Linked DNA regions of Tribolium castaneum. The protein of the gene in region 1 binds, or shares a complex with, the protein of each later gene. Links are inferred from orthologs where the notes say so. Each region holds a gene or a part of one and is shown in the gene's direction. Other genes may lie near its edges. The genes, in order: Catsup and protein-L-histidine N-pros-methyltransferase.

The links.
Region 2: the proteins of Catsup (region 1) and protein-L-histidine N-pros-methyltransferase are in contact, whole or in part, in a crystal structure (PDB 8GZE), measured with the Homo sapiens proteins. The link is inferred for Tribolium castaneum from reciprocal best matches to the Homo sapiens genes SLC39A7 and METTL9. Residues at the interface, in NP_001070984.1 of Homo sapiens: Gly65, His66, Thr67, His68, Glu69; in NP_057109.3 of Homo sapiens: Arg114, Thr115, Asn118, Arg123, Gly124, Met126, Met179, Asn210, Asp213, Arg214, Val241, His245, Tyr247, Glu249, Trp255, Tyr295, Leu296, Cys297, Glu298, Asp300, Tyr306, Val307, Leu308.

Annotation. Positions count from the first base shown.
Region 1 is NC_087398.1:6,546,173-6,549,656, forward strand, and holds Catsup (protein catecholamines up), read left to right. Parts: upstream 1-1,443; 5' UTR 1,444-1,581; coding exon 1,582-2,601; 3' UTR 2,602-2,665; downstream 2,666-3,484. Other genes in the region: Ttc19 (tetratricopeptide repeat protein 19 homolog, mitochondrial), read right to left, coding at 2,666-2,745, 2,794-3,484. UniProt on the Homo sapiens protein: Transports Zn(2+) from the endoplasmic reticulum (ER)/Golgi apparatus to the cytosol, playing an essential role in the regulation of cytosolic zinc levels.
Region 2 is NC_087394.1:24,614,598-24,618,427, forward strand, and holds part of protein-L-histidine N-pros-methyltransferase, read left to right. Parts: intron 1-581; coding exon 582-772; intron 773-3,830. UniProt on the Homo sapiens protein: Protein-histidine N-methyltransferase that specifically catalyzes 1-methylhistidine (pros-methylhistidine) methylation of target proteins.

The DNA of each region.
Region 1 (3,484 bases):
AACGTGAATTGTCCTGATTAGATTAGTTATTGTTTTTCAGTGTCATTGCGAAAGGGCGCAATAAATAATTTCGATTTTTTTGTTAAAATTTGTTCACTCCACTCGTTTATTACACGCTCGGCAAACTTGAATAACAAACACGCAATTGCAGCCTTCGTGCGTGTTTGAGTTGGAAATATCTGACTGTAGGTATCGTTTTCTTATCACGACGTACTCATTGTTTAAGATAAGATTTCGGGTCTTATATTATAAAATTGCAATTTGCACCATTTTATTGCCGCTTGAAGCAATAATTAATAAAACACTTGTAAACGATCAATTAGACGACACAATGAAATATTTAATTTTTCTTACATTGGAAAAATTATAAGGTAAAAACAGCGTCGCCTTGAATTGAACGTAATGTCCTAGGTCACAAATGAGTCACTCTGAACGTGCCACAAAAATGCGTAAATGGCACGATTTTGATACGTTTGTTTGTTTTCGTTCTTCGTTGACTTTGAACTCGATTTCGACCACAAAAGTGTTTTTTTTATGAGCTTCAACATCCTAAAATGATGATACACCTGAGATAAAATTATAATAACAATTTCGCTTTATCCGGTTGTCGTCATTTTATTATCAATATGTAGAAATCAAGGAATGCAGTTATCTAGGAAAAATAGTTTGTTTTATTGTGTTTGCTGGAATTTACCAATTGTGACGAAAAAATCCCCTTTGATCTTATTATTTTTTATTTTGTAATTTTGGGTCGGTACTTTAAATTAGTCATTTATTTATCTGGACACGAGAAAAATCGTTAATTTATTGAGTACCCTACTCTTGGCTGATTTTTTCGTTTGATTGCCATCAAACGGTTTAATGTTCCACTTGATGTTCTTATCTTTTTTTTTTAATTATATTTGTATGTCCATATTCCTCCTTACCTGACTTAACGTAATTTTAATTTTGCTATTTTGTATCGATCTTTTGTTATCACCGATTGTCTGTATGATGTCATTACAGAAGAGAAAAAACTCAGTAATTTGTTTGCTATCAAACATTTTTAAGTTGTGCTACTTGTCGGTTCTTATCAGTTTTTGATGGATTTTGATTACTGTATCCAAAATGTATTAATCCTTATCATATTTCATATCATCATAGTTGAGGATGATGACATAATTCGATTTTGTAAGTTTCTTGGTACGATTTTTTTTAAAATTGATAACAATCTGTATTGGTGGTTGCCTATTGAAATTTATAGCTTAAACCAGACTTAAACTTAAGTTTATGATTGGTCGCATAAAGAAAGTACTTGAAGCTACAACTTGACCTTAGCATTAAGTAAATCAATCATTTATAAGTAATTATAGTGATAATTAAATTAAATTAAAATAAACTGGTAAAATAAAAATCATGGAGCGTCCTCTGGCGCCTTACTACTGACTTTTCCTTTGACATGCTTTGACAATTCTTTGACAGCAGTGACATTTTGACAGAAAATATGTTTTTTTGATGATGATGTGTGCCCCCGCCGGTTAATTCAAGTGTTAATACCCACATTCAGTCCCAAATCACGTATTTAAGTCTCCACATTCCGCAATGTCGAATTTACGGTTAGTTTTAATTCTGCTCGTCGTTTGTTTCTCATGGGGGCACGAGCACGGCCACTCACATGATGAAGCCCCCTCATTCAAGTACTCGAAAGCCGCTAACGAAAAGTACCAACCCCCCGAACCTCAACATCACACTACTACCTCCGAACTATGGCTGCAAGCCATGGGGTCGACGCTCCTCATCAGTGCAGCCCCCTTCTTCATCCTATTTTGCGTGCCGCTTGACAGCACCGACCGGGAACAGCCTCTCCTGAAAGTCCTACTGGCGTTCGCGTCCGGGGGGCTGCTGGGCGACGCCTTCTTGCATTTAATCCCGCACGCGGCTATGTCAGTCGACAGCCCCCATTCGCACTCACATTCCCACGATCACGAACACGGGCACGACATGTCAGTGGGGCTGTGGGTGTTGGCTGGTATCGTCACGTTCCTCTTGGTGGAGAAAATCGTGAGGATTGCCAAAGGGGGCCACGGGCACAGCCACCACAAGAAGAACGATGAGAAGAAGGAGAAAGCCAAGTCGGGGGGCGACAAGGCAAAGAAAGTCGAGCCAAAGGAAATTAAAGTGGCGGGTTATTTGAATTTAGCCGCCGATTTTAGTCACAATTTCACCGATGGTTTGGCAATAGGGTCGAGTTATTTGGCGGGGAATACCGTAGGGTTGGTTACAACGATCACGATTTTACTACATGAGGTCCCGCATGAAATTGGGGACTTTGCCATTCTGCTCCAGTCGGGGGTGTCGAGGAAAAATGCGATGTTGTTGCAATTGACTACTGCTCTGGGGGCGCTGTTGGGGACTGCGATTTCGCTTCTGGCGCAAAACAGCCTCATGGCCACCCAGTGGATCCTCCCCTTCACGGCCGGGGGCTTTATTTACATAGCGTTGGTGTCTGTGATTCCTGAATTGTTAGATGAAGAGAAACCCAGTTTTAAACAGACTGTTTTCCAAGTGGCTGCCCTGTTAGGGGGAGTGTTTATGATGGTTTTGATCGCAGAGTATGAATGAATACCTAAATATGTAACGGTTTTATTGTTTCCTTTGTACTTAGAGTACGCCTTTACAATAAATATTATTTTCCTAAAACCAATTTAATTTGGTCAAAACAGTAGTTTGCTTGTTCAACTGATTCGTTGTTTTCGAATTTTTTCCCTGAAAAAAAATCACGAGATAGGAGTCGGCAACCTTGTCGATATTTACCCAACTTCCACGCCTCCTTACAATACTTTTCTGCCTCCTTAGCTACGCCTTTTTCTAAAAGAATTAAACCTAAGTTTGCGTGGATTACCCCCAAGTGCGACTTGTCTTCGACCTCGCGCCCCACTGTAATAGCCTCCTTTAAGTACCCCTGAGCATTATCAATATCACCAGCGCGAAAACTGGTAGTCCCTAAGTCATTCAAAAGCAACATGCTTTGTTCGCTATTCCTCCCTTTGGTTCTTTTACACGCATTGTAAGCCTCTCTCAAATGGATTAAAGCCTGCTTAACGTCCCCAACGTCTAGCAAAAACTGGGAATACCAGTCCTGAATAACCCCATATAGCATTTGAGCGTCAACACTGTCATTTTTCTGTGTCTCTATTTGTTCAAGACACCACTTGTACCCAAGGTCGGCTTTTTCAATTTCCGCCTTCAACTGCGAAATTCGCGCCAGTTTTAAACTAATATGAATGACCTTCAAGTCTTTTTGGTCCAAACCGCCCCCAAGTAACAGCTGCAAGACACTGACAAATAATTTCTCGGCTTTATCCAACTGAAAGGTGTCCAGAGCCAAATTTGCCATCAAGTCGTAGCAGTAGATGACCCCTTGCTGGTTTTGCTGCTGTTGGGCCAGCCGTAGGGCCAAATGTAGCATCTGCTCGGCCTTCTCATACTGCTCCCTTTGCGTGCA
Region 2 (3,830 bases), on another chromosome or scaffold:
CGAACTACTTGTCGGGTGTAGGCCTTTGGCGCAGTACCAGGCCAATTAACGTCTCATCGTTTTTGTTTTACGGTATGAATAATAATGCGCCTCCTCACCAAAGGCGCGATTCCCTATGCATACACAATATAAATATTCATAAGATTTGCATTCGTTTTGACGAACACCTGAAGTGATTATTTTGCACTGACAAGTAAGGGAATTGTATCATTAATTATTCTCGCGGAAACTTCACAATCGACTGCCTTGTTATTCGCCAAATTGAAAAGTTCGCTTAGAGGAGACGTGAAAGGTTCGCACCGTTCGGTAATTAAAACTTATTTTCTTAAAACATTGCTGCACGACTCTTCAATTATTCCAATTCATTGTCTGTGCGTTTTGAGACATTTTAGAGCGAATTTTGAAATGGTTGTAATTATAGTACTATCAGACAATCACGTACTAAATCCTCCACGGTTCATCGCACAGGATCTTGGGGTATCGACATTATGACCTCTAATACCCGACAATTCAGAAATTTATATCTTCAAGCACCCATCATCCATAAATCTTCCTAACTGTTGCAAATTTTTCGCTTTCAGTGGTACCACTGCGACTTATCAAAAATCCCTCTTGACCTGTCATCGAAATTCATCGAGTTGGGACCAGACGACGAAACCATCAAATTTCTTCAACAATCTGAAGAAAAATCCGACTGGATTCTGACTCAAATTTGGCACTCGGTCGTCAAAGCCTTCCTGGGCTGGTTCATGACTCAGACATCCATCAATGGGTGAGTCTTAATTTAATTACTTGACACAATAGCTTTCGAGTAAAAAAACCTTCCATTGAAAAATGTTTGTTCATTAACAACTATAATAGAAGGCTTGTCTAACTTTTACCTGACTGTCATTCTGAGCATAACTAATTATATAATTAGGTTTTTTTGTTGTGCGGTCGACAGTCATTAGGTCCCTCGAAGGAAAAAATTCTAGTCGATAATTATCGTCACAGTGTCGAAAAAGTGTAATTATGAAAAATTGACCAGATGTTAGAGGGAAAAGGGGAAATTAATTTTTTGCGCGAACTTAAATTCGTGATAAATTGATACAACACAGAGTACAAAATCGGGCGGCGGCGGCGGCCCTTGTCACAGCTGCCGAGTTTAGATATACGAGAGATTATAACAAAAGTTTTTTATCGAGAGAATTAGAACGAATTCCTTTTGCTTTGTTGTTTAATTAACAGATTTCCGAGAAGACGACTGATTAACGATTTTAATCTTTGTAATTATCTCGAGATGGTCGAACGAGAGACATTTTTGCAAGAATTAATGGAGATGTCGCGCATTTTTATTCGCTCGGATTGAATTTTTAATTATCACTTTTGTTGCGCTTTGCTGGGCAAAGAAGTGACTAAGGAAGCCCAGCAAATCCGAAGAAGAAAACAACAAAGATCAAGGAAAAATGCTACTTAAATTCAAGAGCTTTTTTTAAATTTTTCCTGACTTTTGTGACACTATTGCGTAATAAAAAATTTCGATGGAGAGAATACTGATTCAATGGTATTCCCTATTATAGAAAAGCAAATTATTTTTAACTGCCACACTTAGTCCTTTCTCGTGAGATGTCTTTGCGCTGGTTTAATCCAAGACACGAAGCAATCTGCACGAAATGCGTTGTCAAACTTCCTCGCATGAATCCTGACAGGTTAATTAAAATAAAGTCTGAAAAAACTTGTACCGAAAATTGATAAAACTCTATCGAAAAATTGTGTTTCGTGCTATTTTTTCGTTTTGACGTTGGTTCCTTTGTGTCGGTTGCAATTCGGTTGAAATACTTAATTAAAATTGCAATTCTTTGGTCGAATTAATCGGCGCTTTTTTTCCCGCCTCGGTCTCGGGAGAGAATTCCGCGCTTTTATTTGTGCGATTTTTAACACGGCGACGGCTCTTTTAAAAAAGAGAAGCAGCTTAATAATCCGCGGTACTTATAGAATTATGCATGGGCACTTTTTTTGTCGGGTAACTATTTCGACGCAGCTTCGCCATGTTTAATGAGAAGAAGACAGGACTGCCAGACGGCGAGATCCTGAATTAATTCGTCGCATTAATCTTACCGACCGCCATAACTAACCTACACAAAGGGCTGTCGGAATTGTTCAGCGAGAATTGCATTAATGCTAATTCGCGGACACTGGACTATCACTTGTTAGAACATAAACGGCGAAAAAGAGCGCCGACACCAACCGAAATGGAAAAAATTGTATGCGCACACCTCGAATTGCCATAAAGTGAATTATGTATGGACTGCTTTTTATTCACTTGTTTTACGCAGCGGTAAAACAAATGACTCGAAGAGACGCTAAGCGAGGGGACGAAAGCAGAACCATGCGGGACACGCACAATTAAAAAAATCATTCAAAAATCCCCTCCTCACCAATGGCTAAAAATATTTAAACATATTATTATCAAAACAAAAATATTTCAATATTATTATGAAATCAAAAATATTTCAATATATTTTCAAATAAGTAATCTCGAAAATCTGTTTTTTGATTTAACAGAAACTACCCAGTCAAAATTTTTGTGAGAAAATTGGACGCACGTTATCTCACTTCATAGACACAATTTTTTTCTTTTTTTGTGGAAAACTAGAAGTTTTGTTAAAAAATTATGCTCACGTTTTCAAAATCTTTATGTTTATGGCTTTTGTATGCAATTTTGTTCTTCGAAAGCGTTTATTAACGAATACATCAGGATACAGTGTCTTGTATCTAAAGCCAGTGCTCTTGATTATCAAATTTCTATCTTCATTTGTTCTGGTGATACAAGGCTAGCTTAATTTTTTTAATAGCAAGAAGGGTCACATGCAATATTTTTAAAAATAGTATTTTTTCTGAGTTCTGTGATGTAACACATGCATTTAAAAAAATAACGAACTAATAAAATTTTGTGAACTTTGGAAATGTTGTCTTCATCGAACATTAGCTCTTTGCCGCCTGAACTTTGACCAAAAAATAAGTTAAAGTCAAAAATAATTGTTAAAATAACAATTTTGACTAAAAAAAATATTTAGCTAGCAACCCTGATTTTGGAAATTTTCTTCAGTTTTAGTTTAAAAATTGTGCCACTTTTAAAACAACTTCCTCACATGCGGTGCACCTAGACAAGAATATTAAAGAACAATGGTGTTATCGATCTACAGTATTGAAAATACTAAATAATTTTAAAAAATGTGGTTCTAACGTAAAAGTTCAGAAAACCTAAGAATTTCAATTTCCTGGGACAAAGACTTATTTAATTAAAATTTAACCTGAAATTTTGGTTTAATTTGAGCTGCTCGGTGAGTGGAAGCGTTAATAAAGCGCAGGTCACACACACGTCGTCGTCATTATAAAATTATTAAAGAATGACAATTTAAAAACAGGAAGATGTGTTTTGTACGCTTTTTACCTTGCAATCATAAGCACATTACCTCAGGCATGGGCCGCAATTATAACCATATGTCCGATGGGCCCGTCATTAGGGCTGGGAAATCACCAATTAGAAAAATTAACAAAACATCGCATTGTGTCTGACATTCTTCAAAAGCGCGCTTTTATTATGTATGTACTCTCCGGGTTTTTTGCTTCGGAACGATTAAAAGGATTTTTTCCGGTCGAGGCGGCCGCGATGATCTTACACATGTTTACTCATTCGGGTAAAATCATGAGAAAAAAGACGTTTTCATCGTTTAATTGTGTTCGAATTTTACGGAACGAGACGGCCGAGCATAACAAATGGAGCTCTCTTGTTCGAGCTTTTCACCGGAGAAAATGATAGAGAGACAAAAAGTTTAATTAATATTTAC